Stegostoma tigrinum: one gene and its partners. The protein of the gene in region 2 interacts with the protein of the main gene of each other region in a pairwise test. Links are inferred from orthologs where the notes say so. Each region holds a gene or a part of one and is shown on either strand. Other genes may lie near its edges.

What was found.
Region 1: the proteins of multifunctional procollagen lysine hydroxylase and glycosyltransferase LH3-like (region 2) and efhc2 interact in binary tests that used the Homo sapiens proteins (3 or more experiments, as listed by UniProt). The link is inferred for Stegostoma tigrinum from reciprocal best matches to the Homo sapiens genes PLOD3 and EFHC2.
Region 3: the proteins of multifunctional procollagen lysine hydroxylase and glycosyltransferase LH3-like (region 2) and ehmt2 interact in binary tests that used the Homo sapiens proteins (3 or more experiments, as listed by UniProt). The two-hybrid records come from large-scale screens. The link is inferred for Stegostoma tigrinum from reciprocal best matches to the Homo sapiens genes PLOD3 and EHMT2.
Region 4: the proteins of multifunctional procollagen lysine hydroxylase and glycosyltransferase LH3-like (region 2) and rab3ip interact in binary tests that used the Homo sapiens proteins (3 or more experiments, as listed by UniProt). The link is inferred for Stegostoma tigrinum from reciprocal best matches to the Homo sapiens genes PLOD3 and RAB3IP.

The regions. Positions count from the first base shown.
Region 1 is NC_081365.1:42,802,654-42,810,975, forward strand, and holds the start of efhc2 (EF-hand domain-containing family member C2), read left to right. Parts: upstream 1-5,176; 5' UTR 5,177-5,251; coding exon 5,252-5,293; intron 5,294-8,322. UniProt on the Homo sapiens protein: Microtubule inner protein (MIP) part of the dynein-decorated doublet microtubules (DMTs) in cilia axoneme, which is required for motile cilia beating.
Region 2 is NC_081398.1:8,547,473-8,554,959, reverse strand, and holds the start of multifunctional procollagen lysine hydroxylase and glycosyltransferase LH3-like, read right to left. Parts: upstream 3,119-7,487; 5' UTR 2,181-3,118; coding exon 2,099-2,180; intron 1-2,098. UniProt on the Homo sapiens protein: Multifunctional enzyme that catalyzes a series of essential post-translational modifications on Lys residues in procollagen. Plays a redundant role in catalyzing the formation of hydroxylysine residues in -Xaa-Lys-Gly- sequences in collagens.
Region 3 is NC_081387.1:20,687,597-20,695,395, forward strand, and holds the start of ehmt2 (histone-lysine N-methyltransferase EHMT2), read right to left. Parts: upstream 3,090-7,799; 5' UTR 3,060-3,089; coding exon 3,033-3,059; intron 384-3,032; coding exon 299-383; intron 1-298. UniProt on the Homo sapiens protein: Histone methyltransferase that specifically mono- and dimethylates 'Lys-9' of histone H3 (H3K9me1 and H3K9me2, respectively) in euchromatin.
Region 4 is NC_081371.1:45,501,064-45,508,601, forward strand, and holds the start of rab3ip (rab-3A-interacting protein), read right to left. Parts: upstream 3,315-7,538; 5' UTR 3,084-3,314; exon of another isoform or gene 2,913-3,083; intron 2,654-2,912; exon of another isoform or gene 2,536-2,653; intron 1-2,535. UniProt on the Homo sapiens protein: Guanine nucleotide exchange factor (GEF) which may activate RAB8A and RAB8B. Promotes the exchange of GDP to GTP, converting inactive GDP-bound Rab proteins into their active GTP-bound form.

The DNA of each region.
Region 1 (8,322 bases), on a different chromosome or scaffold from region 2:
ATGGAGAAAAGATAAATGGAACAGAGATACACATCTGCTTGACCCATCAGAAAGGCAGAATATGCTTGTGGAACTGAATAACCACTATTCTTGTGTAACTAACCAGCAATCGAACATCTGAAAAGACAAATCTAATGTACTTTGTCACAATTCCAAAACCTCACTACTGATGTGTTTCTCCTCTCTAATATAGTCTTAAGGTTCAGGGTGACTGTTGCAACTTTCTACATGTTATTCAATTCCCATCAAAGTTTCTGATAAATATTTCTTCATAAATGTTGCTTAGTGCCGCATTCAAAACTTGCCACCTTTGTCCTGTCTTCACTTCTTTGTTGTTTAAACATTTCAACCATAGCTTTTATAACACACTATCTCCATTAAATTACAATCCTGTCCAGTCTCCCATCCTGCAGAAACTTGGGCTCAATCAAAACTCTGTTATCAGTATCTTATCCCACGATAAGATTTGTTCTGGCTCACAAATCACCCTGTCCTTGATAACACACATTGAATCTTTCACCAGTGTCTAATATAAAATTCTCATCTTCATTTTTAAATAACGTCAACAACTTTCTCCAGTTCTATAACTAGCGATACATGTTCATTCATCCAATAACTCTGCATTCTAGCAGCTGTATCCAAATGATGTCTCTTCTGTATTAGCAGGTAAACACTACAATAAGCAACGAGCTGCAAAATGGTAGAAAACTGAAACAAATTATTGGCGAAACTCACTTCTGATGCAGTCACTTACTCTGGGAAGTATTGGACTGATTAAGAAGTGCGAGGGTCGAAACATTAACTCTGCTTTTTTTCCCCTCCCCAACAGATGCTGCCTGACCTGCTGAGTTTCACCACCATTTTTTTTTAAAGCAGATACACAGTACACCCAGGTTTGTATACTTCCACCTTCCTTTTAAATCCTCATTAACTGCCACTCTTCGAGCTCTTCTGTTCTCTTCCCTTGCTGAGAATTCTTGGGACAATTTCAGGTTAGAGGCGCTATGCAAATAGTTGCTCCAAACTTTTTATTAGTTTTAATCTCAGCTATCGATGGGAGGTAGGAGCAATGTATTATTTGCTTCAGCAGCAAGTCAGGTAAAAACGGAATCTGGAGGCATGAGCAAGAGCCGGATAATTTGGAAGAGGATGCAGCGACTGCCAATTAATACGGATGGAGACTATAACAAAATATGAACCATCAAGACCCAAGGAATGAGTGATAATGGGAACTGCAGATGCTGGAGAATCCAAAATATTGAAATGTGAGGCTGGATGAACACAACAGGCCCAGCAGCATCTCAGGAGCACAAATGCTGATGTTTCGGGCCTAGACCCTTCATCAGAGAGGGGGATGGGGTGAGGGTTCTGGAATAAATAGGGAGAGAGGGGGAGGCGGACCGAAGTTGGAGAGAAAAGAAGATAGGTGGAGAGGAGAGTATAGATGGGGAGGTAGGGAGGGGACAGGTCAGTCCAGGGAAGACGGACAGGTCAAGGAGGTGGGATGAGGTTAGTAGGTAGGAGATGGAGGTGCGGCTTGGGGTGGGAGGAAGGGATGGGTGAGAGGAAGAACAGGTGAGGGAGGCAGAGACAAGTTGGACTGGTTTTGGGATGCAGTGGGTGGAGGGGAAGAGCTGGGCTGGTTGTGTGGTGCAGTGGGGGGAGGGGACGAACTGGGCTGGTTTTGGGATGCAGTGGGGGAAGGGGAGATTTTGAAGCTGGTGAAGTCCACATTGATACCATTGGGCTGCAGGGTTCCCAAGCAGAATATGAGTTGCTGTTCCTGCAACCTTCGGGTGGCATCATTGTGGCAGTGCAGGAGGCCCATGATGGACATGTCATCTAAAGAATGGGAGGGGGAGTGGAAATGGTTTGCGACTGGGAGGTGCAGTTGTTTATTGCAAACCGAGCGGAGGTGTTCTGCAAAGCGGTCCCCAAGCCTCCGCTTGGTTTCCCCAATGTAGAGGAAGCCACACTGGGTACAGTGGATGCAGTATACCACATTGGCAGATGTGCAGGTGAATCTCTGCTTAATGTGGAAAGTCATCTTGGGGCCTGGGATAGGGGTGAGGGAGGAGGTGTGGGGGCAAGTGTAGCATTTCCTACGTTGCAGGGGAAGGTGCCGGGTGTGGTGGGGTTGGAGGGCAGTGTGGAGCGAACAAGGGAGTCACGGAGAGAGTGGTCTCTCCAGAAAGCAGACAGGGGTGGGGATGGAAAAATGTCTTGGGTGATGGGGTCGTGATTGTAGATGGCGGAAGTGTCGGAGGATGATGCGTTGTATCCGGAGGTTGGTGGGGTGGTGTGTGAGAACGAGGGGGATCCTCTTTGGGCGGTTGTGGTGGGGGCAGGGTGTGAGGGATGTGTTGCGGGAAATGCGGGAGACGCGGTCAAGGGCGTTCTCGACCACTGTGGGTGGAAAGTTGCGGTCCTTGAAGAACTTGGACATCTGGGATATGCGGGAGTGGACTTCCTACAGACTAAGGGGGTGGCCATGGGCCCCAGCTATGCCTGCCTCTTTGTAGGTTACGTGGAACAGTCCCTCTTCCGCACCTACACAGGCCCCAAACCCCACCTCTTCCTCTGTTACATTGATGACTTTATCGGCGCCGCCTCTTGCTCCCCAGAGGAGCTCGAACAGTTCATCCACTTCACCAACACCTTCCACCCCAACCTTCAGTTCACCTGGGCCATCTCCAGCACATCCCTCACCTTCCTGGACCTCTCAGTCTCCATCTCAGGCAACCAGCTTGTAACTGATGTCCATTTCAAGCCCACCGACTCCCACAGCTACCTAGAATACACCTCCTCCCACCCACCCTCCTGCAAAAATTCCATCCCCTATTCCCAATTCCTCCGCCGCCACCACATCTGCTCCCACGATGAGGCATTCCACTCCCGCACATCCCAGATGTCCAAGTTCTTCAAGGACTGCAACTTTCCACCCACAGTGGTCGAGAATGCCCTTGATCGCGTCTCCCGCATTTCCCGCAACACATCCCTCACACCCCGCCCCCACCACAACCGCCCAAAGAGGATCCCCCTTGTTCTCACACACCACCCCACCAACCTCCGGATACAACGCATCATCCTCCAACACTTCTGCCATCTACAATCTGACCCCACCACCCAAGACATTTTTCCATCCCCACCCCTGCCTGCTTTCTGGAGAGACCACTCTCTCCGCGACTCCCTTGTTCGCTCCACACTGCCCTCCAACCCCACCACACCCGGCACCTTCCCCTGCAACCGCAGGAAATGCTACACTTGTCCCCACAACTCCTCCCTCACCCCTATCCCAGGCCCCAAGATGACTTTCCACATTAAGCAGAGGTTCACCTGTACATCTGACAATGTGGTATAACTGTATCCATTGTACCCAGTGTGGCTTCCTCTACATTGGGGAAACCAAGTGGAGGCTTGGGGACCGCTTTGCAGAACACCTCCGCTCGGTTTGCAATAAACAACTGCACCTCCCAGTCGCAAACCATTTCCACTCCCCCTCCCATTCTTTAGATGACATGTTCATCATGGGCCTCCTGCAGTGCCACAATGATGCCACCCGAAGGTTGCAGGAACAGCAACTCATATTCCGCTTGGGAACCCTGCAGCCCAATGGTATCAATGTGGACTTCACCAGCTTCAAAATCTCCCCTTCCCCCACTGCATCCCAAAACCAGCCCAGTTTGTCCCCTGATAATAAAATGTGAGGCTGGATGAACACAGCAGGCCAAGCAGCATCTCAGGAGCACAAAAGCTGACGTTTCGGGCCTAGACCCTTCATCAGAGAGGGGGATGGGGAGAGGGAACTGGAATAAATAGGGAGAGAGGGGGAGGCGGACCGAAGATGGAGAGTAAAGAAGATAGGTGGAAAGAGTATAGGTGGGGAGGTAGGGAGCGGATAGGTCAGTCCAGGGAAGACGGACAGGTCAAGGAGGTGGGATGAGGTTAGTAGGTAGATGGGGGTGCGGCTTGGGGTGGGAGGAAGGGATGGGTGAGAGAAAGAACCAGTTAGGGAGGCAGAGACAGGTTGGACTGGTTTTGGGATGCAGTGGGTGGGGGGGAAGAGCTGGGCTGGTTGTGTGGTGCAGTGGGGGGAGGGGACGAACTGGGCTGGTTTGGGGATGCAGTAGGGGAAGGGGAGATTTTGAAACTGGCGAAGTCCACATTGATACAATTAGGCTGCAGGGCTCCCAGGCGGAATATGAGTTCTATTCCTGCAATCTTCGGGTGGCATCATTGTGGCAGTGCAGGAGGCCCATGATGGACATGTCATCTAGAGAATGGGAGGGAGAGGGAACCATTTCCACTCCCCCTCCCATTCTCTAGATGACATGTCCATCATGGGCCTCCTGCAGTGCCACAATGATGCCACCCGAAGGTTGCAGGAACAGCAAATCATATTCCGCCTGGGAACCCTGCAGCCATATGGTATCAATGTGGACTTCACCAGTTTCAAAATCTCCCCTTCCCCTACTGCATCCCCAAACCAGCCCAGTTCATCCCCTCCCCCCACTGCACCACACAACCAGCCCAGCTCTTCCCCCCCACCCACTGCACCACACAACCAGCCCAGCTCTTCCCCCCCACCCACTGCATCCCAAAACCAATCCAACCTGTCTCTGCCTCCCTAACCTGTTCTTCCTCTCACCCATCCCTTCCTCCCACCACAAGCCGCACCCCCAGCTACCTACTAACCTCATCCCACCTCCTTGACCTGTCCGTCTTCCCTGGATTGACCTATCCTCTCCCTACCTCCCCACCTATACTCTCCTCTCCACCTATCTTCTTTTCTCTCCATCTTCGGTCCGCCTCCCCCTCTCTCCCTATTTATTCCAGAACCCTCTCCCCATCCCCCTCTCTGATGAAGGGTCTAGGCCCGAAACGTCAGTTTTTGCGCTCCTGAGATGCTGCTTGGCCTGCTGTGTTCATCCAGCCTCACATTTCGTTATCTAAGACCCAAGGAATGACGGCCGCTGACCTTCTCAAGATGGCGAACTATTTCTTGTCGTGTTTGTCGAATGCATCACACATTCGAATTTAGGAAAAACAACAACGGATTGAATGGAAGTCGGTGCAAGCAAAAATGTGAAACTGGGACAGAAGGGTTCACCGCGCAAGAATCTGCCAAAAAAAGTTTTTTTTTGTTGAAGCCCTTCTTTTAATGGCGGAATGTACGGCCCAGCATAGCGACGTCACTGTCACCGAGGCAACGGAGACTCAAACATAGAGAAGAGCCTGGAGCAGAGGAAACATGACTTTACCACTCTTACCTGGGAACACATTCAACAAGAATGTGAGTAACTTCTCTGCAAGTAATAAAAATCGACACATTTAAGAAACTGTTTTCTCTTTCAAAATTGACTTCAACACCAACCTTTGAGGAAACCCCGGGGAGTAAATGTTTGCTTGTTTGTAACTCATTTTTTAAACAAAAATTTCCATACTGTTAACATTCAACATTGTTATTCCTACTTTCTGTGCACGAGTAGTAAATACTTCCTGCAGGGTTTTGGCTAGTTGGCACAACACTGTATGAGATTGTCAGGGTGGTCACAGTTGCGTCTTAATGTTTAGAGGGAACCACTGCACTGACAATGATTGAAAATACCACTAATAAAAGGCCTGGAATATTCTCAGGGCTGGTGGTGCACTGGTTTCTTTGTTTGGAGATGATCACACCAAACTATCCAGCTGCCTACAGAAGAGATGAGTAGAGTGAACACTGGGTTGGATAGGTGTTCTGTTTGATATATGAAAACTGTCATTCAAAAGATGTCATCCATTGGAATTCCCACTTCCAATGGGTTCATGTCTGCACTTCTTGCAGTTTTATAACATTGAGTGATTGTTGAAAGATGCTTCCATCATTTTACAGGAAATTCCCCAAGTGACCACCAACAACAAAGCCCGCTCCAGCAATTCCTCCTTTTGGCCTCAAGTGCTAAACTTAGAGTGCTGTTAAATTGGCCTCTTGCACCCAAGACAGTCCTCCCTTCCTCCTTCTGTCTCATGCCTTGTACAGCCTTCACTCTGCTGACCTTACTAACTTCAATCTTTAATCTCTGTTAAAGATCTGCTTTTCTTTCAGCCCAAAAACATGGAGACTGAAAGTCTTGTCACAGTTAGCCCTGTTGCTTCAGCCTTTATTTTCAGGTATGAACATCTTGCACCTTGCTGTCAGTAAGTCTTAACATGTGCAATCCTGTCCCTGTGGAAACCACGTAGGCTTGTTGTCAAACAGAATACAAAACAGATCACATTACCAATTTACCTTAAACTATGGAGATGGTTTAAAACAATATTCTAAAATCTTGGAGATAGTAAGAACTGCCGATGTTGAATTCAGAGATAATCGTGTGGATCTGGAGGAGCACAGCAGACCAGGCAATGTCAGAGGAGCAGGAAAGTTGACGTTTTGGATCAGGACCTTTCTTCTAAAATCTTGCATTTGTACCAAAGCCACCATCTGAGTTGGAACTGTATGACTAATCCTTCACTGTCAGGAATTCTAAATCTTGTAACTCCCTTCCTAACAGTACTGTGAGTGCAGACAAGATGGATTCAGCAATTTAAAATGTGGCTCACCAGCACCTTCACGAAAGCAATCCAGGATGAGCAACAAATGCTGGCCTTGCTGGCTCACACCCTATAAACAAATCTATTTTTGAAGAAAGGGGCAAGCTCACCTTTATAAAGCAGGTTTACTTATGGATTTGAAAATGTGACTTGTGATACTAGGTGCACTTTTATCCTAAAAAAAATTGAGTAAACATAACTTTCTAAAACAACAGAAAAAGTGCAATTTTTTGAAGTTCTTTCTTCAGCCTAAATGACCTATTTATATTTTCTTTGGGTGTCTCAATGCCCAAGGATCACCAATTTATGTTAATAATTGTGTTTCTGATTGTCAGGGCAGAGTTTCAGACGGAAGCCGTTTCATACTGCCTTTATGCAAGTGTCCAAAACCCTCTAATTATTTGAGTTCATCAACGTTAAAATTTTACTAGGTGATTTTTTTTATTATAGAAGGAAAAAAGGTAGAGGTGTAAAATGTGATACTATGATAATTTTGTGTATCACTATCAAATCTATATGAAACAGATTTGAAGATGATTTTGCATTTAAATTGCTGAACTGCATTTTAGTTTGTATTTGAGCATTCTCTTTGAAGGTTTGTACTTATTCTATCTTTAGAAGGAGTTGCTTTAATATTCTGTTTGGTCGATTCAAAGTGTTGTATTAACAGCAGGTGGTAGAATTAACTACTATGAAATTGAGCACATTTTTAAAAGACTTACAAGTGACTACAAAACTATTCTGCTACTGCTGCTGTTACAGAACTGAAGACCCGAAACCATTGCTTCTGTTTCTAATATTTCTCCCACCACCCCCCTTTTATTTTTCTCTTTACTTCTTCTAGATTCTTTAATGTTATCATGCCTTCATTCATTTCTTCTCTTAGGCAATCTATCTTCCCCAATCGCTGCCCAAGTCATCAGGAATCTTCCATCTATTGTCCCATGCATGCTCCATATCTAATAAACCTACAGCTTCCCTCCATGCCCCTCTTGTCATATCTGATGGGTCTATCAAGGCACATTTCTAGGTAGTTAGAAAAATTTTCGATTTGAGTTAAAAAGGAGGTCATGTGGATGAAGTCACATCAAAGATACCCTCCATTCTGTTGTTAGGCACTAACACTTAAATAGGATGGACTTGAACAGATCAAGCAGCTCTGTAATGTGAGTAGAATTGTAATTAACCGCAATCTGTAATTTCATTGCCTGGCAAAGTTCTACTCTACCACAACGATCATACCTAAAAATAAGGTTTCAGCCTGGTGAAGTGACAACACAGGTACAGCTACAACATTGGCATCTACCCAGCAATGTGGAGCATTGCCCAGTTATATCCTGTGCAAAAAAAGCAGGAAAATCCAATCCCGCCAATACTGCCCTAGCAGTCTACTCTCCATCATTAGTAAAATGGTGAAATCAGTGACCGTACTATCAAGTGGCACTTGCTTGACAATTACCTGCTATTGATGTTCAGTTTGAGTTCTGCCAGGTCCATTTGGCTCCTGACCTCATTACAGCCTTGGTCTAAACATGGATCGAAGAACTGATCTCCTTAGGTGAAGTGAGTGACTGCCTTGATGTCAAGGCAGGATTTGACCAAGTATGGCACCCAGGAACCCCAATAAAGCTGCAGTCAGAGGAAAAACTGTTACACTTGGCACAAAGGAAAATGGTTGTGGTTGTTGGAGATTAGTCACCTGAGTTCAAGGACATTTCCACAGAAGTTCCTCAGGATAGTATCCTA
Region 2 (7,487 bases):
ACCACCTCTTCAAGGGCAACTAGGAACAGGCAATAAATGCTGGCCAGCCAGTAATGTTCACATCCCACAAGCGAATAAATAAAAAGAGCTTATAGATCTACACACGATGCCAGACAAGGACCTTGTTTAATTGTCTCACCCAAAAGACGGCAGCTCCAGTAGGGCAATAACATTCCCTCAGCTCTGGCACTCCAAAATGAGGTCATAAAATCGTAAGAAATAGAAGCAGGAGTAGGCCATTCAGTCCTTCTAGCCTGTTTCATCATTCAACAAGATTATGACTGAACCATTTGGGGCCTTAACTCTACTTACCAAAGGACCCTCAGGGAAGAGTTTCCTCCTCATCTCCATCTTAAACCAGAGACCCCTTATTTTGTAACTATACCTCCTAGTTCTAGATACCCCTACGAGTCAACATCCTCTCAATATTCAGCCTATAGAGCCCCTTCAGAATCCTATACTAGCATATTCCAATGTCAACTTGGACATTTTTTGTACCCCAGCGTCCAGAGTGGGGACCTGAATTTTTGACTATCCTGCAATGATACCAATCCCCTTAAGGACCAATCATTTTAAATGATCAGAATGGAAGGTAAACGGAATTATAGATGGCCTTTATTTCAAAAGAATGGAGAATCAAAGTAGGGAAACTTTGCTAAAGTTACACAAGACAATCGTCAGGCCACAACTGGAATATCGCAAACAGTTTTGGGCCCCTTATCTAAAGGAAAGATATGGTATGAAGAAACTGTCTTACAAGGAGTGGTTGAATCAGTCAAGCATGTACTCATTGGAATTTAGAAGATTGACAGGAGATGTTATTGAAACATAAAGGTCCTTACAGAACTTGACAAGGTAGATGCAGAAAGGTTATTTCCCCTTATGAGAGATTCTAGGACCAGAGGGCATAATCTCAAAATAAAGAGTCATACACTTAAGACAGAGATGGAGAAGAATTTCTTCTTTCAGAGGGTAGTGAATCCGTGCAATTCTTTATCACAGACGGCTATTGAGGCTGAGTCATTAAACATATTCATGACTGAGATCAACAGATTTTTTTAGTCAGTAAGAGTTATGGTGAAAAGGCAGGAAAATGGAGTTGAGTATTATCAGATCTCATTGCATTGCACAGTGTATTTTATGGGCTGGACAACTTTTGATCCTTTGTCTTCTGGAGGCCAATCTCTCTCAGAATGTCAGGACTCTCCTTCTCAGTGGGAATATCAGAATTTTCTCTCTCTATCCAACTGGAAATGTTAAGATTTTTTGCTTCTCTGGGAATGTCAGGCTTTGTCCTCACAATCAAAATGCCAAGATTTATCTCTTTCTCTGGGAACGTCAGGATTTTAGTGCATCTCTCTCATTGGAGATGTCAGGACTCTCTCTCTCTCTCACTTAGAATGTAAAGATTTTCTCACTCGCTGAGAATATCAAGATTTTCCAAATCTTTCACTCACTGTGACTGTCACGTTTTCCGTCTGCATCCCAACCTCAGAAAACATCAGTATTTTGAGTCTCCGTCGTTCTGGGAACGTCAGAATTTATCGAGTCTCCCTCACTGAGAATGACAGGATTTTCCAACTCTCTCTCGCTCAGAATATCAAGTTTCGCCGAGAATCTCGCTCATTGGGAATGTCAGGTTTTCCATCTGCATCTTGTCCTGAGAATGTCAGGATTCTGCGAATCTCTCTCTCACGGGGAATGTCAAGATTTTCTCTCAAGTAGAATATCAGGATTTTCCGATTCCCTCTCTCACTGGCAGTGTTCAGATTTTTAAAGTTTCGCTCTTAGTGGAAACGTCAGAATTTTCCATGCTTCTAAGTGGAAATGTTAGGATTCTCTTTCTCACTGAGAATATCAGGATTTTCCGATTCCCACCTCCCGCAACACACACACACCAGGAAATTCAGAATTTTCCAACTCCTCCTCTCACTGGGAAGGTCAGAATTTTCCGAGTCTCTGTCTAGTTGGGAATGTCAGGATTTTCCGAGTTACTTTCTAATTGGGATTGTCAAGAATTTTGCGTCTGCCTCCTGACCTCGCTGGCAATGTCATGATTTCAAGCCCTCCCCCACCGCCAACTGCTTTTTTTTCTTACCTGTGGAGACGGGCTTGGGGCTGGAAGCTGAAACCCAGACGGATCCCAGCAGGATACAGAGTACTCCCAGCAGCAGACCCATCCTTCGGATCCCCCTCGGTCCCTATTCCGTCGCCGCTTCCCGTCGCGTCTGCGGTTGTCGCAACTGGCTCGCTACATTGAAAGCGATTGTTGGACCAATCCGGGCTCACGCTGTGCCCTTGATTGACAGCTCACCCTCTCCAATCAAAGTTGGTAAGTTGGTGGTAACATCCCTGTCCCCACCTCTGCCCCGCCCCTAAAAGAACTTTCCCAAATAAAAGTTTAGGGGAAAGTGAGAGGGCAATCATTCATTCAGTACATTGCTGCCACGTCTGCAGAAAGTTGGCAATCAGTCTGACAGAGGGAAGGAGCTAAGGGTACATAAAGAGAGGTAAAGAAAAGGACCATGAAAGGGAGCGAGAATAAAGGGAGATAAAAAGATACGAGTAAAGAGGAGACAGGACAGAGAGAGGTCGAAGTTGAAAGCGAGGACAGAGGGAGAGCGAAAGAAAGAGGTGAAAGAGAGAAAAGTAGAGACGACAAAGGGTGAAGGTGAAGAAAAGAGAACAGTGGGAGTGGTTGAAGATCAATTATTATCTCATTGAATACCTACTTCTGCTCCTATGTCTTATGGAGAGAGGGGACAGAGGTAAAGAGGAAGGGTGTTAGAGGAAGAAGAGGGAGACAGAAAAGGGACAGAGGGAAGGTTAAGAAGGTAGACAAGAGAAAGAACAGGGATAAAGGGGAAAGGAAACAGTGAGACTGAAAAAGGTCAGAAATCACATGACTCAGGATGTAGTCCGACAGGTTTACTTGAAAAAGCAAATTTTCAGATAAACGGCTTGGACTATAACCCCGTGTTGTGTGATTTCTGATCTTGTCCACTCCGGGAAGACAATGGGACCTCCACATCATGAGAAAGAAAGGGAGTGGGTAAGAGGAAAGATAGAAACAACAGGGGAGGAAAGGGTATCAGAGATAATGGGAACTGCAGATGCTGGAGATTCCAAGATAATAAAATGTGAGGCTGGATGAACACAGCAGGCCAAGCAGCATCTCAGGAGCACAAAAGCTGACGTTTCGGGCCTAGACCCTTCATCAGAGAGCTGATGAAGGGTCTAGGCCCGAAACGTCAGCTTTTGTGCTCCTGAGATGCTGCTTGGCCTGCTGTGTTCATCCAGCCTCACATTTTATTATCAGAGGAGGAAAGGGACTCACTCCATAACGTCTGCAGAGAACATTCCAGAAAACTGGATTGCTTCTGAATAAATAACATCCTGTTTCTTGAAATAGAAAACTAGATTCTCCTGTGAATCTTAATCGAAATATTCAGCAGATTCTAGCATTCATTCTGAAAAACGTTTGTGCAACTTTGGACCACAGCCTAGTTTTTGAATGAAGCAAGAAAGATAGACTAAATTTATGAAGTATCAGTTACATCCTCAACTCTAAATAACAATCCTATTATATTGGATGTGTGAGAGCAGAGTGTAGTAGGGAGGAGACAGGAGAGAGACTTGGAACAGCAAGGGGTGGGTGCATGGAACTTTTGCTGCCTGAGGGTATGACCCCAAAATTTGAGCTCACGGTGACATTTGAGAAACTTGAATTATGGATTCTGGGCTAGTACAGAGGCCTCACAGTGCCAGGGATGCGGTTTCAATTCCAACCTTCGGTGACTGTGTGGAATTTTCTTATTCTCTGTGACTTTTTTTCTTCTGGGTGCCTCTGGTTTCGTCCCACAGTCCAAAGATGGGTAGGTTAGGTGGATTGGCCACGGTAAATTGCCCAATAGTGTCCAGGGATATGTAGCTTACGTGTATTAGCCATGGGAAATGCAGGGTCACAGGGATGAAGGGTCAGTATGGATAGTATGCTGTTTGGGGGGGTCAGTGTGATTCGATGGGCCAAATGGCCTTCTTCCACACTGTAGGAATTCTATGACTTTTGATCACAAACACCCTCCCGAAACCCATCGAACTAGATGTCTCACGCTCAATTCTAATTGCCAAATCTGTAAATAAAACCAGGACAGAATTTAGCATTAGGTCAGGAAGTGCCACTCTCGGAGTTGCCACCATTCAGCTAAGGCATTGAACTGTGGACCTGAGTGCCCTCTTGGAAAGAACATGACAGCTCTATTAAGGACACCATCTAAACGAAGAGCAAAGCCTTCTCTCTAACACGTCATCCACTCTCTGAACAAATTTTCATCTCAATCTCCCAGACACCTCTCCATTTTCTCCACCTCACTTACCCCTCTACTCCACCTCAAGCCACAGTGCCCTGCTGCATCTTTCTCCTTGCTAACCCAAGCACATGCACCCTTTTCTGCCCCCTCCTTTATCTACATCGTCCAATTTCTCCCCTTCACCGTCATTTTCTATACTACACCCCTCCCACATATTTTGTCTCTGCACCCTTTTTCTCCTCCCTCAAACCCCTTTAATTCTCAAAGATTCTCTCCATAATCTGTTTTTTCCCTCCCCTCACATTCCACTCTTTCCTCTAACACCCGCTTGGTTCTCTCCACTCCCAATTCATTTTGTCTTCCTGCCTCCTCTTTCCAACCTCTCCTACTCCCTTGCCTCTAGCTTCTCCCTGCCACCCCTATTCTGTTCCCCTTTCCATCCATCTTATACCTCCTTGCTATACCCTCTCTCCTCTTACCAACTCATCTTTCCCCTCCCTCTATTCCCCTTCCCGCTCTCATTTCCTCTTCTCCCGTCCAACCCTCTTTCTCTTCCACCTCCTTCCCCTTCTCTTACCCCCACACTCCTCCATACCCCCTCACCTCCCATTACCCCCTCTGCAAACCCCATTTCCCCCTTCCCTCTCACCCTCTATTCCTCCATCCCCATTCCCCCTCACCCCCTCCCTAAATCCCATTTCCCCATCCCTCTCACCCCCCCATTCCCCTCTCTCGCCCTCTATCCTTCCCTCACCCCCCATTCCCCTCTCTCACTCTCTACTCCTCCCTCACCACCCCATTCCCCTCTCACCCTCTACTCCTCCCTCACCCCATTCCCCTCTCTTACCCCATTCCCCTCTCTCACCCTCTAATCCTCCCTCACCCCCCCTATTCCCCTCTCACCCCCCACTCCTCCCTCACCCCCAACTCCTCCCTCACCCCCATTCCCCTCTCGAACCCTCTATTCCTCCCTCACCACCCCATTCTCCTCCCTCACCCCCCCATTCCCCTCTCTCACCCTCTAATCCTCCCTCACCCCCCATTCCCCTCTCACCCCCCATTCCCCTTTCACCCCCTCTATTCCTCCCTCACCCCCCCATTCCCCTCTCTCACCCTCTACTCCTCCCTCACCCTCCTATTCCCCTCACCCCCATTCCCCTCTCTCACCCTCTATTCCTCCCTCACGCCCCCATTCCCCTCCTACCCTCCATTCCCCTCTCACCCTCTATTCCTCCCTCATGCCCCCATTCCCCTCTCTTACCCTCTATTCCTCCCTCATGCCCCCATTCCCCTCTCTCACCCTCTATTCCTCCCTCACGCCCCCATTCCCCTCTCTCAACCTCTATTCCTCCCTCACGCCCCCATTCCCCTCTCTCACCCTCTATTCCTCCTTCCCCCCCCCACCCCTGCATTTTTCTCTCACTGCCCACCCCCCCCCCCATTCCTTCCCCTCTCCCCGCCCATCGCCCGCCTCTGCTTCCCCTTGTGGGACCGTGCCATCTATGCCCTGCCTACGGAGTGCGTCCAGAGGGAGTACGATGGGAAGTGGCCGCGGGAAAGGCGCTATAGCAATTCACCTGGCTGTGTTTTCCCCGGCGCCTTGGCGACTCGAACACACACCTCCCCAAACCCCCTCAGGATTTCCAAATACCCAAGGAATTTTCTACAGTCCGAGGCACCCACCAAACCCAGACTGTTGGGGGGGGGGGGGGAGGGATGAATAAAAACGAAAGGCGACGTGAAGAAGAATAACGAGAGAAAATATAAAGAAAAAAAAACACCAAATCGGCGGGACGGCTATTAAAGGACGAGACGAGAAGAAGAAACAGCCGCCTGGCAGCGTCCTGCAGCGGAGGCCGGGAGACCCCGCGCGTTCCTTCTCTCGAACCTTCGGACGGTTCCGGAACATTCCAGAATCGCCCCCGCCCCTCCCACCCAGGGAATAGTCTGCTCAGAAACTCAGGCGTTGGGGAGGGGGGGGGGGGGGAGAAGAAGGTCCTTTTAAAGAAACCCTCAGATTAACCCCAGCCTCTCCGCTTTTCGACGGAAATTTTCATCTCTTTATCTCCCCACGAAAGGAAGAGGACGCCTGAGCGGATTAATCGCTGGATTATTTTATTATTTCGCTGGATTATTAACGTCATTGTGCGTCCATTCCGTCCGTGAAAAAGAAGTAGAAAGGTGACCCGGAGCTACACAAGCCGGCGTTTTCGACCAAAAACCGACACTTGTTTTTCTTCTCACGCTGAGCTTCAGAGAGAAAAGAAAACTTGACCAGGAACCATAGGGAGCGCAGCAGCTCATCTTCCACCCTAAAGAGCTACAGCAATTGGGGTGTGGGCATTGGCCCATCACGCCTGTTCATACCTCCTCAGGAACAACCACCTCACTTATCTCATAGCCTTGGCATTGCAAGTGCACTTCTAAATCGCTACAGTCAGAGTACACGGACAGACCCTTTGGTGCAATTCACACCAACCAGGTATCCTAAATTAATCTGGTCCACAGGGACAGTTTTTGGTCCATATTCCCTCTTAAACCCTTCCTATTCATGTATCCATCCAGCCGCCTTTGGATTCTATTATGTAAACATTTCATAGAGTGTGGAAGCAGGCCATTCGACCCCTTGAACCCTCGTAACAGCACATCCACCTCAATAACGCTGCCTTTCCCATGGCTAACTCACCCAGTCTGCACATCCCTGGACAGTGTGGGGCAATCGGGCCTGGCCTGGTCAGGTCAATCGACCCCAACCTGGACATTTTTGGACTATAAAAGGAAACCCATGCAGACACTGGGAGAACATGCAAATTCCCCATAGATAGTCACCTGAGGGTAGAATCAAACTCACGTCTCTGGTACTGTGATGCAGCAGTGCTAACCACTGAGCCATTTTCTGGTAGCTCATTCCATACATGCATCACCTTCTCCATGAAAAAATTTACCCCTCACACCTTAAAACATTGCCCTCTAGTTTTGGACCCCCACCCGGGGGGGGGGGAAAGAACTCGGCTATTCACCCCATCCATACAGCTCATGATTTGATAAACCTCTTACAGGTCAGCCTTCAACAGTTCACAAAAGAAAGCCCCAGCCTATTCAGTCTTTCCCTAAAGCAATAGACAATAGGTGCAGGAGTAGGCCCTTTGGCCCCTCAAGCTAGCACCACCATTCATT
Region 3 (7,799 bases), on a different chromosome or scaffold from region 2:
AGGTTGCCACTTCATACAGACTCACCACGCTTCCATCCAATCTCACTGACTTTCCATTTTCCCACATTAAATTCCATCCGCTACAACTCTGTCTTTTGACCCAACTAGGAAAGTGACAAAAGATCCCAAGACACCACACAGGATGGAGTCTCTCCCTACCACTGTAATGGTCAGCGACCCTAGCCCCATGGAGACTTCCAGAACCAGATCGCCATGTCTTCTCTCTCTCTACACTCTACTCTGTGTTGCTGTGTCCTTTGCTGACAGAACAACTGCTGTCTTGAATCTGTAATCTTACCTTGGACTAGTTCACAGCTAGGGCTCGTGTCAAGCACCAGGAGTTCTGGTTCTGCTGTAGCTTCAACTGGGCTGTTAGCCACCACCTGTGAAAGGAAAGCAAAATAACTCACAATGTTCCAGGGGAAATGTATCAATTTGATGATCCTACCTCAACATCTCCAACAAATCCACCCACCCCAACTCCTCACAGCAAGACAGGAAGGGTCTCATGAGGTTGAGGAGATTGCACTCCAGAAGAATGCTAAACCTCTTTCTCTCAGGCTCTGCTTTTTATTTCAAAATCACTCCCTCCTTTTGCATTCCATATATCCCTGCTTTCTGTTGGAATAGTGTCACAGGGGGCTGAGCTGGAGGCACAAGGAGGGGAACAGTACAGATAGGGAAGTGACCCAACACACCAAAGAGAAACAGTGTCTTCTCTGTTTTGAGCAAAAAAACCTATCCTACACCACTAGACACTGAAAAGTTTACAACACAAGCCAAGGAACAGCAGCTGCTGGACCACTCTTTTCTCTGACAAATAAAAAGTGTTGCCTTCAATTGATTACTCAATTCTGGGATTGTAAAGAAACGGGCAGATCAGTCCATCTAGCTAAAGCTCCACACAACCCTCTTCATCCCACCTTATCACTGCACCCTTCTTTTTCTTTCTTCTTCTTATGGTCATCCAGTTCCCTTTTAAGAAAAAACTATGTCAATTGTGTCAATTGCTGTCTGGGTACAAAGTTCCACATTCTGGGCAAAAAAAGTTCTTCCTGAATTCACGACTGAATTTATTAGTCATTAGGCTGGGGTGGACAAAATTAGAAGTCACACAACTTCAGGTTACAGTCCAACAGTTTCTTGATGAAGGAGCTGTACTCTGAAAGCTTGGGATTTTAAATAAACCTGTTGGACCACAACCTGGTGTCGCGTGACTCCTGGATGTATTACTAACTGTCTTATATGTGTGGACCCTAGTTTTGAACTAAAAAGATAAGTTATGCTAAACAAGTATTGAACCTGATTACACCACATTTAAGAGTATTGTATGGAGTTCTGGTACCATATAATGAAAAAAATATATCAGGCACTGGAGAAGTGACAGAGAAGATTACTAAAGATAGAAACAGAAATGTGTGGGTATACATATCAGGAAAGGAAATGCTGTAGGATGACCTAACAGAAGTCTTTGAAATGATGAGCAGTTTTGATTCAGTCAACATTGTAGGGCTACTGGGAGATTTGGCTTCGCTTAACCAACAACGTCTGGCTGGATATAGAATTGTAAAGTTTTACAGCATGGGAAAAAGGTCTTCAGCCTATGGTGCCAGTCAAACATCCATCTACTCTAATCCCATTTTCAAGCATCTTGCCTGCAGCCTTGTACATTATGGTGTGTTAAAATATTTATCTTCATCTAAGTACTTCTCAAAAGTCTTAACACATCTCGCTTCTAGCATTGTTTTAAGCAGTGTGTTCCAGACATCCACAATCCTGTGAGTAAAGAAGGCTTTCCTTAAATGACGTTTAAACGTTCTGCTTCTACTTTAAAACTTTGCCCCTTGGCTTTTGATCCTTCAGAGGGGAAGCATTTTCTCCCTATCTATCTTGCCTCCTGCAACTTTGTGTAAATCAAATCAAATTCAATTTCAGCTTTCTCTGCTTTAAGAAAACATCAGCTTATCTCTTCATAGTGGAATCACATCAGCCCAAACAACATTCTGCACCCTCTCTAGATGCAGTAACATACTTCCTTTGGCGTGGCAAAACAGAACTGAAAAAAGCTGTAGTCTAACTAACATTATAAATAGTTCCATCATACCCTCTTCGCTCTTGTATTCGATGCCTTGAGTAATAAAAGCAGTCTGTTTGACATGGGAATGCATTATAGCCGAGATACCCTTCTGTTCAGTCCTCCTCTGACACCAAATCTTACACCTTCGCTGCTCAACAGCGGTAAATCTGACCGACTTCCCTCCCGCCACTCAGAAATAGGCCATGTGTCCACTTAACAAGCTAACTACCTCGGACAGTCTTGCATTTAACCTAATATGTCTTTGACAGGCGGTTTATATTGCAGCATTTCACCTAAACGATCATCAAGATTGGTAAAGAGAATCAGAAGGAGGTGCGCAGTACAGTCGAACGAGTCAATGTGGTAAGTTTTCAAGCATTTTAAAATCGCTAACAAAAAACGAGAATGTGCTGTTAACGACATAAAAGAGAGAGTTTTATTGAGCTAAAGAGAAAATAACTGGACAGAATCGCAGGCTTGCAAGTTAATCAAAATACACTGCCGAGAAAAAAAAATTGCACAGCAACAAGGCAGCATGCCTTAACTGTACAGTCGGCCAGATTCGTACCCCAGACCTAGGATAACGGACAACCCGCAACGTTATCAGAGGCAGTTTATACACTCTGCAAGATATGGGGATCGGCAGTCAATTACACAGTACATCGAGGCCAAGCCGAAGCCTGCATAACGCATATCTCCTACGCCACCAACAAAGGGAGGTCACTACATCACACAGATTACAGGGTTCCAAATATTTCTCCACCCCAAACCTCGTATAGCGCATGTCCAAACACTCCAAGAGAATGGAATGGATACATCACACAGGATAAAGGGTTCTACAGTCAATCATCGTAGCCCAACCCTAACCCTGTGTAATACGTTCCGCCACGAGCCAACAATAGGGAGCCAATGCGCTACACAGGATACAGGGTGAAGAGAACAGTCGCCCGCTAACCTCCGCCCGGAATCGCGCATAACGCATCCAATCAGTCCAACGCAAGGGGAGTCGATGCGTTGTTCAGGTTCCCTGGGCCCGGCTGTCAATCACTTGGTTCCTTCCCCCTCTCCGCCTCACAAAGCGCCCGAGACCCATGGCCGCCGTGGACTCGGAGCCGACGGAGCAGCAATGAGCGAGGGAGGGGAAAACGAAAAAGCCTCGGTTTTAGATGTAAGCCAGGATGGGATTTGAGCGGGGTGGGTGAAGAGAAGTCTAAGCGCCCCCGATGTAAGTGAAGAGTCATAACAATTTTTTAATCGGAAAGAGGAATTCCCTTCCCTCAGCGGCTGTCTCACCTCAGCATCCAGGGAAGCCATGGCTCCCGGCCCGTGACGTCATTGCGCAGTGGAGGGGGGCGGGACCTAACCTGCGCGGGGCGTGGCCTAGCCGGATGAAGGGGCGTTGCCATCATTTAAAGGGCCAGTGCTGCTTTCAAGAGGGAGTGGAAAGAGCTCAGTCCACGTCGGTAATAAAGTGTGAAGCTGGATGAACACGGCAGGCGAAGCAGCATCTAGGAGCACAAAAGCGGACGTTTCGGGCTCGCCTTCTGTGGTGAAGGGTCTAGGCTCGAAACGTCCGCTTTTGTGCTCCTAGATGCTGCTTGGCCTGCCGTGTTCATCCAGCTTCACACTTTGTTATCTTGGATTCTCCAGCATCTGCAGTTCCCGTAGGAGTGAGTTGCTCTTGATGCTGGAATCTGTACTGACAACAACAACAAATGTTGGAGATCGCAGCGGGTCAAGCAGCATCCATGGAGAGAGAGAGAGAGCAAACTAATGTTTCAAGTCGAGATAGCTCTTCATCAGATCTAGTGAAGTGTGGAAGGGACAGCATTTATGCTATTGTTGCGAAGGTAGGTGCAGAGTCGTGAGAGAGAAAAGACGTTGATAGTTCAGATTAAGAGACCAGAATGCGAGAACTGTAGAACGATGATGTGTCCAACTGCCAGATTTAGAAGAGCAGGCAAGGTTTTTCTGAAGAAGGGTTTAGGCTGTAAATGTCAGACTTCCTGTTCCTCTGATGCTGCTTGGCCTGTGTTCATCCAACTCTACATCTTGTTGTCTCTGTCCCTCTGAGGTGGTGAGAGAGGAGACAGCACATGGTGACAGAGAATGTAACAAGTAAAGCTAAAGGAAAGGTTAGGAGTAGCAGTTTGTTCACAATTTGAAGGTGCTGAACTTAATATTAAGTCCATAAGGCTAGTCTGATAATGAGACTGGAGGTGTTCTGCAAAGCAGTCACTCAGTCTGCGTTTGGTTTCTCCAATGTAAACATAAACTGGGTCACAGCTTTGCAGATCGACTCCAGTCTGTACGTGGCCAGTCATTTTAACACAACAGACTGCTTGCATGCCCAGTTGTCTGTCTTTGGCATGCTGCGGTGCTCCAGTGAATCACAGCACAAACCAGGGGGAACAACATCTCATCTTCAGACTAGGCCATTTACAGACCTCCAGCATTTGTTGTACTCAGTCCATGACTTGGTTATATCACAGAATGGTTACCATCTACAGAAGTTGCCCATTTTGACCTGTTGTGTGCGTGCACAAAACAACCGTCCAAATGAAAAACAGAAAGCTGGCACACGGTGCAGCAGGTAATCAGGAAGGCTGATGGAATGTTGGAAAACTGCAGATGCTGGAAATCAGAAAAAAAAAGAAATATAGGAAAAGCTCAGCAGGGCTAATAGCATCTGTGGAGAGGAAGCAGAGTTAACATTTCAGGTTCAGTGACCCTTCAGAATTGTCAAGAGCAGAAGCTGCCAGACTTGCTGAGCTTTTCTAGCTATTTCAGATTTTTGTGTCAGCAACAAAAACAGAAGACACATCTGAGGAAGGGTCACTGGACCCAAAACAATAACTCTGATTTTTTTCTTCACAGATGCTGCCAGACCTGCTGAGCTTCCAGCAACTTTTGTTTTTGTTCCTGATGTATCTGCAGTTCTTCTGGTTTTTATTCAGTTTTTGTGTGTTGTGGAAGCAGGGATGGGATTTATTTCATGGGTTTTGGAGTATAAGAGTAGAGACATCTTATTATAACTGTAACAAGGTACTGGTGAGAACGCATCTAATATACTGAGAATATTTTGTTCCCTTATTTAAGCATAGGTATTATTTCAGTTTAGGCAGAGAGGACACAGAGACAGTTTAGAAAGATGATCTCTGATATGGAGGCATTGTCGTCCGAGCACAGGCTTAACAGGTTGAGACCCTACTCACAGGAGTTTAAAATGAGAGGGGATCTCATTGGAACATATAAGATGATGAAGGGACACTGACAGGATAAATGCTCAGAGGATGTTTCCCATCACGGGAGAGCCTAGCATAGCAGACATAGTCTCAGAACAAAACAGCATCAGTTTAAAACTATGAAGAATTGTCTTTATAACTCCTTGCTACAGACAGCTACGGAGTAGAGTCTTTATATGTATTTATGGCTTAGATAGATTCTTGATCAGTACGGGTAATCAATGGTTACAGGAAAAACACAGAAAAGCTGACATGAGGAATGTCAGATCAGCCATGATCCTATTGAATATTGGAGCAGGCTCGTTGGACCAAATGCCTATTCCTGTTCCTATTTCTATAGTCTTAACACATGCATTTAGAGCCACTTGTCATACCCCTGCACTCACTTCCTTTTTCAACCCAACTCTCTGTTGAATGCCTTGATTGAAAGTGCCCCCATGCATTCTCAGGCAGCACATTCATGTGACCTACACCACTTCTGAATGAAAATATGTATCTCTGTTGTTTATTTTTTCAATTTCTTTCATTCTGGACCTTCATGCTCTCAATCAGCAATGGGAATAATCTTTTTTCTATGTTGCCCAAATTTCTCAAGATTTGAATACTGCCATCAAATCTCCTCTCTCTTCTGCAAGAAAAGCAGTTGCACCTTCTCCAGTCGATCTACGTAACTGAGGTTCCTCATACTTGGACCCATTCTCTTGAATCTTTTCTGCACTTCAATGTCTTCTTGTATTTCCAAGAGCTAGACTCAGTACTCTAGTGGCAGCTGAAACACTATCTTTTTCAAGTCTAACACAACCTAATCTTAAGTCCATGTTCCAATTAATAAGGCCTAGGATACTGTATGCTTTCTCAACTGCGCTCTTGCCAGTTCCAATGTCTTATTCGCATATACATCAAATTTTCTCTGCTCCCAAATGCTCTTTACTTTATACTGTCTATCTGTGTGCTTCCTACCAAACTCAATTACCTCAGGGATGTCCGCACTGAAATTAATCTGCCACTTGTCTGTCCATACCACCAATTTGTTTGCATTCTTTTAAATTTCTACAGTATCCTCCTCACAGTTCAAAATGCTTCCAAGTTTTGTGTGACATGCAAATTTTGTTCTTGTACCCTGTGCATCAAAGGCTAGGTAGCTAATATATATCTTCAAGAGCAAGGCTACCAGCACTGAACCCGGGCAGCTCCACTTCTTCCAACCCAAAAGCATTCATTAACCAGTACTTTTTGTAACTTGTCACTCAGACAATTTGAAATCCATGATAACAGCATCTTTATTTATTCCATCAACCATGACTTTGTTCACAAGCCTGTTGTGTGGCACTATGCCAAACTATTGTATGTCCATGTACACCATACATATAGCATTACCTTCATCAATCCTTGCTGCTACCTCATCAAACAACTCCAGGAAGTTAGTAAAACAGCATATTCCCTTAACAAATAGAACATAGAACATTACAGCACAGTTCAGGCCCTTTGGCCCTCGATGTTGTGCCGACCTGTCATACCGATCTGAAGCTCATCTAACCTACACTATTCCATGTACTTCCAATCTGTGCTGGCATTCCTTAATTATATTTGCATTTGCCCAAGTGGCTATTAATGTTGTCCTGAATTCTTTTTTCCCCAGAAGCTTCGTCAGCGCCAAAGTTAAACTGGCTGGTGTAATCTTCACACTCTTGTTTTGAACAAGAATCTAACATTTGCAGTGCTGCGGTCCTCTGGCACCACCTTGAGGTGAAGTCCTTTATACCTTTAACATTTGCCCTGTTCTGCCCTTTACACAGCCATATTCTATAGATCTGAAATCCCCACATTGTGACAACTCTATGATTCTTGCTTAGCTTTGTAAATTCCTTGCAAATTCCCATTCCTCCTGCAGTCTTCCCACTGGCTAGTTGCCGATGGGCTACACTGAGCAGTGGAATTGCACCTTTTCTGTTCCTTAGAGTTGCTCGTAAGATGCTGCTTGGCCTGCTGTGTTCATCCAGCCCCACACTTTGTTATCTTGTAGCCAAATCAAGTGGTCTTTTATTCTCTGGAATACCCTTTATCTCCAGATTTGCAATGCATTTCTCAGTTGGTACCATCACCTGTTCCCCTTTTCATCCTTCCCTTTCCTGAGCACCTGGTATCTTGGTATATTTAACTTGTAGTCCTGCCTTTCTTTGAGCCATGTGTAACAGCCACAACATTATATTTCCACATGACAATACTAAATTGGGAGGAGGTATAGTTTGGCTTTTATTGCAAGGGAATTGGGAATACAAGAACAAAGAAGTCTAACTGTGACTGTACAGAGCTTTTTTTGCACCACACCTTGAATGCTTTGTGCAGTTTTGGTCTCCATTTTTAATGAGGGATAAACTTGAATTCAGTACGGCGAAGAAGAATGAGATTGTTCCCTGGGAAGTCAGGGTTGCCCTATGACACATGGCTGAATAAACTAGGCCTATATTCTCTGGTGT
Region 4 (7,538 bases), on a different chromosome or scaffold from region 2:
AGCTAAACCAGTAAAACTGCAATACTGCAAGTTAGGAGTGCGACAGTGTTGGCAATTTTTAGTTGTTAGCTGTTCATTAAAAGGGACTGGGTGAAGATAATGACAATATACAACTGCAATTCCATTATCAGCAGCAAGATGTAATTTAGATTCTCTCTCTTTCTGGTTTCAGTTTTATCAAAACAACTACACTTAATAAGCATATTTAATGCTCAAACCTCAAAAAGCACAGCTGCAAATTAGCTTTATGAAACAATTTGACATGGAGCCACAAGGAGCTAATAGAGAGCAGATGAAGAGATGTTTGGTCAAGGATATCAGTTTTAAAAGGAATGCTTTAAAGATGAAGGGACAGAAGAACGGAGTGCACAGGGACTATATACCAGAGCATTGGACTAAGGAAGTCAATAGTACAGCAATCAAAGATGTCAAAAAGACAAAACTAGAGTAATTCAGAGACATGACAGTAAAGGAAAGGAACAAAGGAAGAGGAGAGACAAATAGAAAACTCTGAAAACAGACAAGAATGTTGAAATTGAAATACAAGACCAGGTGCAAAATTTCAGGCAAGCTTATGTTTTAGACATAAAAAGTTAAAGATGGGAGATTAATCAGGAGAACACTGTCATAGTTAAGTCTAACGGTAAAACAAGCCCGCTGATAATACACTGATACCAAAGGGTTGAGTCCATGGCTTGGTCTCTCTCTCTCTCTCTCTCTGTTGTAGTAATCAAGTTACTAACCAAAAAGTAGTTAGTAGAATAAGATACACTGCCAATATAATTCAAAAGACAATCGATTAAAATCATCCAAAAGGGAGAAGTTGTATTTTTCCTCAAAGTTATAGCTGCCCCTTTTCAGACATGTTTGTAAAACAGTGACAGACTTGGTAATATTTTAAACATGTCTCACACCAGCTGTTCCAACATAGGATGAAGACAATTTTGAACAATGACATTATAAAAATATTTTTGAACAACTACAAAGAAGAACAATATTTAAATTTCCATGTCAGTAATATATATCTTACAGCTTGAAAGGTAGTAGCTTTGTACATTTCCCAGTAGGAAGGCAATGGAACATTTACCTTTATTACTAAGAACGGAGACTGCAGTGTAAACATAAGGAAATCTTACTATAACTGTACATTAGCAAGACTCTTGGATTATCCTGTACAGTTTTGGTCTTAGTTTTGTACTTGCATTGAAGTCAGCTCAGAAAAATTTACTATGCTGCTTCATGGCACAATGGAGTTGCGGAGAGAAAATATTTAGCGAGATATACCAATTGGTATTAAGAGTAAGAGTATACCCAACTAAAACATTTTTGCGCTTTATGGGGCAGATCCTGAAAATGTTTTCTAGAACCAGGCAGCACAATTTTAATGCTATGGTTTGAATTGAATGGAACGCAAGATCACAGTTGATCGAATCAGGGCTTCAACTCCAATTTTCTGCCTGCCCCCAGAATTTTACAGTCTCCTAACAAGTCAAACGTTCATCTAACTCAGCATTGAAAAGATGAAAACCCTGTTTTAAGAATCTTTCCCCCCCCCCCCAAGACAGCAAAACGACCCGCAGATTAAATGACTCCTCTACTCAGTTTTAAATGTAAAACAGCTGACTTTGAAATTGCGATAATCTCATCACTGCTATTGGCACCACTGGAATAAGCCAAAATACCATTTTCCAAACCTGCTAGATAATTTCTACACTAATCTGATACATAGTAGCATATATTATTTCCACAATTTTATGTATAGACATACCTATTGCATACAAAGACAAAAGGCTTTACAATATTCAGTGTTCACATACATCACTTAAGCTTTCTTTTCATTATCGTCAGATGAAAATCCGATTACATACTTATTCTAACACATCCATCACGAGTTAAAAAATGGCAATAAACAGGATTATTGTGATAAAGGATGATGACGATAGCATACAATACTGAGTAGCTTCAGGAAGCCTGATGGCTTGTCAGCAAAATAATGTTATAAAACTCGCCACCAGGGATTCCTCGGGGCATACAAGGACACGTAATGAACTACAACTGCACTGTATGGGAGCGAACGCAGGACTGCAATTTTCGATCTGATCATCCGAACAATTCGGCAACGAACATGTTGTAGATGAACCAGAAACCTAAAGTCCAACGTGTCTTGTCAGCTGCACAAAATAACTACATACTGTTCATGCTATACTCATTTCGCGCTAACATGAGAATGGTGACTGCCTATAAAATTACCGCAGTTGGTTAATGTTTTTACAGAGAAGTAAGCGGAATTCGCTTTAATTATAAAATATATACAATAAAGAAAACGATGTTTAAATCACTCAAGTAACTCAATGTATGATAAGATTCGGAAAACCCCAGAATTCTCTTTCGCGTTTAACTGCAAACCCGTTGCAGGATTAACTGCATTATCTTATCTCATCAGTGTCTAATATCATCAAATTGTGGGTGCAGAGAACAGCCCCGGAGAAGAAGTGTCTGGATTTTATACATTTAAAAACAAAACGATCGTTCAACCTGATGCACGATTATAGACGAGTCTCCATCCGCAGAGACATGCAGCAGTGCGGGTTTCACCGCTGTAACTAGGCCGGGAGGGCTCGGAGGTAAAGCCTTCCTTCTCCTTAAAGGGGTGAATCAACAAGGTCCAACTGCCGGCGGCCGGCAACTCGGTCCATTCACACAAAAAAAAATCAGAACCCGCCACTTCCCCTTTCATGAACTCAAGTGGAAAATAATGAAATGTCGAGCCGTTAAAACCGTTGGTCTTGCGGAGCGTCCTGGATGCAGGAGGAAGGAGAGAGAGTTGTATTTACAGGGTCCCGGCAGATACTGCCCAGGACTCCTCAGGTAGAAACATAAGGTTTCATTTAACGTCACAACTATTTTCTCACCTGACGCCTGCCAAACAATAAGCTTTCACCTCAAACCGACAAGAAAAAGTCCACTGTCGGTGACTCGATGGGTTTTTATTTTCCACCTTCCCTCCTCCTCCGTTCACCTCAGACGCCGTATCTTTCGACCCAACCCAGCTCAACTTTCCTCCACCTGTTTTCACCGTTTACCTCTCTGCTTGAACACTTGCACCAAGCCACCACGGCTGCGCAACAGCGACTGTTTCTTCTCGCTCATTTCACCATCCCCTCCGTCTGCCTGCTGCAGCTGCGCAATAGCAACTGTTTCTTCTTCATCCTATCCCCACCTTTCTCCACGGCTGCGCGGTCCGAGAGACTTTCCCTCACCCACACCTTTCCTGTACGACTGCGCGGTCCGAGAGACTTTCCCTCACCCACACCTTTCCTGTACGACTGCGCGGTACCGGCTTCTCTCTTCCAGCACACAGCCCCATAACCAACCCTCATTCCCCTCCGTATGCGTCTGCGCGCTACCGGCATCTTCCCTCCTCCCCAGCCTACCTAGCATGCGTGCGGCTGCGCGGTACCGGCGGTCTCCTCCGTTCCCCTGTCAGCTTGCGTGTGCGTCTGTTCGTGTTGTTGCTCGCTGAGCAGGGAAATGAGCAAAATGTTATGAGTGCTGAGTTAAAACCAAAACAAGTGCTAGGAACATTTTGTAGGTCAGGCAGAATATATCCGGCAACATCAATGGGGAGAGGAGAGAGCAAGAATAACGAAGGAAAGGGCATAGAAAAAGCAGAAATGCGAGACAAGGGAATCGAAGAGGAGGGAAAAAAAAGACATAATTCCGGGGTTTAAAAGTTTGGGATGGATAGTTGAATGGTGGGTTTGGAGCAAGGGTGACTGAACTCTAATTAATTGTTATTGAATATAGGGCGGGCCGGTGTGAACTCGCTACGTTGAATGGCTTGCTTCCGCATGTGAGAATTCTGTGTGAACGTAATGCCTGTTCAGTGCAACTGAGACCAAAGCATCTAATTGCTAGGTATTTTCAAATCAACCTGTTCAGAGGTGTTACGACACATAACATTTGGGAGTAGGAACACCGCTGCAGTGCTACAAGAGCTCAAATTTCTAATCTCTACAGAATATTGGTGTTGTGATTCAGCTGCCTTCTTTGTTAACTACGTGATTTGGTGGGCTAAATGATGCAAGTGAAATCAATATCTGAAAAAGTTAATTTTAGGCAATAGCACCTGATATCATGGGTGGAGAGGGATGCAATGTCTGAGCAGTTAAGTAGTGACTGGCTGGGCAAAGAATGTATGGTCACAGTTTAGTTTTGACTGGTTCAGTTTGCTTGCAAACTAATTATGTTTGGTTCGAGATGTCTTACATGCAGGCCACTGCAATTTAAAGGGACACTTTTTATTGTGTGATTGCTAAGTGCTCAGTAAAATGCTGTTGGCTTCGCTGGCTAGACCAGCATTTATTGCCAATCTCTAATTGTTCTTCAGCAGGTGGTGATGAGATGCTGTCTTAACCTGTTGTTGTCAAGAAGGCAGTTTTGAGATTTTGGTCCAAGATAATAAAATGTGAAGCTGGATGAACACAGCAGGCCAAGCAGCATCTCAGGAGCACAAAAGCTGACATTTTGGGCCTAGACCCTTCATCAGAGGATGTGCTCCTGAGATGCTGCTTGGCCTGCTGTGTTCATCCAGCTTCACACTTTATTATCTTGGATTCTGCAGTTCCCGTTATCACTTGAGATTTTGGTCCAATGATATTGAAGGAATAGCAACAATCCGACCCCACCACCCAAGACATTTTTCCATCTCCCCCCCGTCTGCTTTCCGGAGAGACCCCTCTCTCCGTGACTCCCTTGTTCGCTCCACACTGCCCTCCAACCCCACCACACCCGGCACCTTCCCCTGCAACCACAGGAAATGCTACACTTGCCCCCACACCTCCTCCCTCACCCCTATCCCAGGCCCCAAGATGACATTCCACATTAAGCAGAGGTTCACCTGCACATCTGCCAATGTGGTATACTGCATCCACTGTACCCAGTGTGGCTTCCTCGACATTGGGGAAACCAAGCGGAGGCTTGGAAACTGCTTTGCAGAACACCTCCCCTCAGTTCGCAACAAACAACTGCACCTCCCAGTCGCAAACCATTTCCACTCCCCCTCCCATTCTTTAGATGACATGTCCATCATGGGCCTCCTGCAGTGCCACAATGATGCCACCCGAAGGCTGCAGGAACAGCAACTCATATTCCGCCTGGGAACCCTGCGGCCTAATGGTATCAATGTGGACTTCACCAGTTTCAAAATCTCCCCTTCCCCCACTGCATCCCTAAACCAGCCCAGTTCGTCCCCTCCCCCCACTGCACCACACAACCAGCCCAGCTCTTCCCCTCCACCCACTGCATCCCAAAACCAGTCCAACCTGTCTCTGCCTCCCTAACCTGTTCTTCCCCTCACCCATCCCTTCCTCCCACCCCAAGCCGCACCCCCATCTACCTACTAACCTCATCCCACCTCCTTGACCTGTCCATCTTCCCTGGACTGACCTATCCCCTCCCTACCTCCCCACCTATACTCTCTCCACCTATCTTCTTTACTCTCCATCTTCGGTCCGCCTCCCCCTCTCTCCCTATTTATTCCAGAACCCTCACCCCATCCCCCTCTCTGATGAAGGGTCTAGGCCTGAAACGTCAGCTTTTGTGCTCCTGAGATGCTGCTCGACCTGCTGTGTTCATCCAGCCTCACCTTTTATTATCTTGGAATTCTCCAGCATCTGCAGTTCCCATTATCTCCTAGAATGATGAGTGGCTTGGCGAGTAACTTGCAGGTGGCCTGTTCCCACACATCATCTGCCATTGTCCTTCAGTGCAATAGAGCCAAAGTTTAGAAAGGCATTGATGAAGGAGTTTGAGTGAGTTGCTGCTGTACGTCTTGTCGATGGTACATGCTGTGCCGCTGTCACTATGCTTCAGTGTTGAAGAATGACGAATGAGATGACAATCAAGTGGCCTGTTTTGTCCTGGAGATGTTGAGCATCTTGACCACTTTGGGGAGACGAGATCAGTTATTCACTATAGAATTCCTCGGTCTCGTCCTGCTCTTGAAACCACAGTATTTATGTCCCTGCTTCTGAGCAATGCTAACAACCAGTTGATAGTGGGGATGTTTCAATGGTAATGCCATTGAATGTCAAGGGATCATGGTTACATTCTTTTTTAAAAGAGATTGTCAAGCAATGACAATGGTGTGCAGTAAATGTTACTGATAACAAAGTGTGAAGCTGGATGAACGCAGCAGGCCAAGCAGCATCTCAGGAGCACAAAAGCTGACATTTCGGGCCTAGACCCTTCATCAGAGAGGTAGGAGTAAATGTTACTTGCTGCTTAGCACTCCAAGCATGGATGTTGCCCAGGTCTAGCTGCATACGGACTTGCACTGCATGTGTGAGGAGTTGTGAATGGTGCAGAATATTTTGCTATCATCGATAAATATCCTCACTTTGACCATATGTTGGAGAGAAAGTCGTTGATGAAACATATAAAGAAAATTGGGCCTAGGATGCTCCCATGAGGAGCCTGCTCTGGGACGAAGATTGAACTCCAGAGACTACAACCATCTTCCTTTGTTGGTAGGTGCTGGTGTTGGACTAGGCTGGACAAAGTCAGATGTCACACAGCACCAGGTTATAGTCCAACAGGTTCATTTGAGATCACAAGCTTCCAGAGCACAGCACTTTCATCAGGTCAAGTGAGCAAGAAGAACACACAGACACAGAATTTACAGGTAGAGAGATCAAAAGTCCATGCAACTGGTGTGAGTGGAGTAAGGAATATTAGGTCGCTGCAGCTGTGAGTAAAGTATCAACAGCCGAATAACAAGTGAAGGACCTATAATCTGATTAAGTGAGGCAGAGAAATAATTACAAGAAACAAAAAAAAAGGTGATGCTGGAGACAGGCTAAATGAGTAATCAGATTATAGGTCATAGCTTCAATTGTTATTCAGTTGTTGACACTTTGCTCACATTGTGTAACACTCTTGGTCACCATGATGTGGAGGTGCTCGTGTTGGACTGGGTGGACAAAGTCAGAAGTCACATGACAGGTGATAATCCTGAAACCTGTTGGACTATTACCTGGTGTCATGTGACTTCTGACTTTATCTTCCTTTGTGCCAGGTATGACTCAACTATTGGAGAGGCTTTCCCCTGATTCCCATTCAGTTCAGCTTTGCTAGGGCTCCTTGATGCTATATTCTTGTCAAATGTTACCATGGTTCAAAGCCATTCATTGTCACCTCATCTCTGGCATTCAGTTGGGTTGTTCAAGTTATAGTCTTGGCCCAAATAAGGTCAAGATCTGAGTGGCCCTGAATGTATGAATTTTGCTGATCAAATACCACTTGACAACACTACCAATGACTCTTTCCACCAGTTTGATGATTTAGAGTAGATCACTGAGTAGAGTAGATGTTACTGTTGTAAGTCTTATGTACTGTTGCTGGAATGTGGACATGGCCCATAATCTTTTCAGTATCCAATGCCTTTAGCCATTTCTTGATATCATGTGAAATAACTTAAATTAGCTGAAAACTGGCATTTGTAATGCTGGAGATCATAATAGGTGGCTGAGATGAAT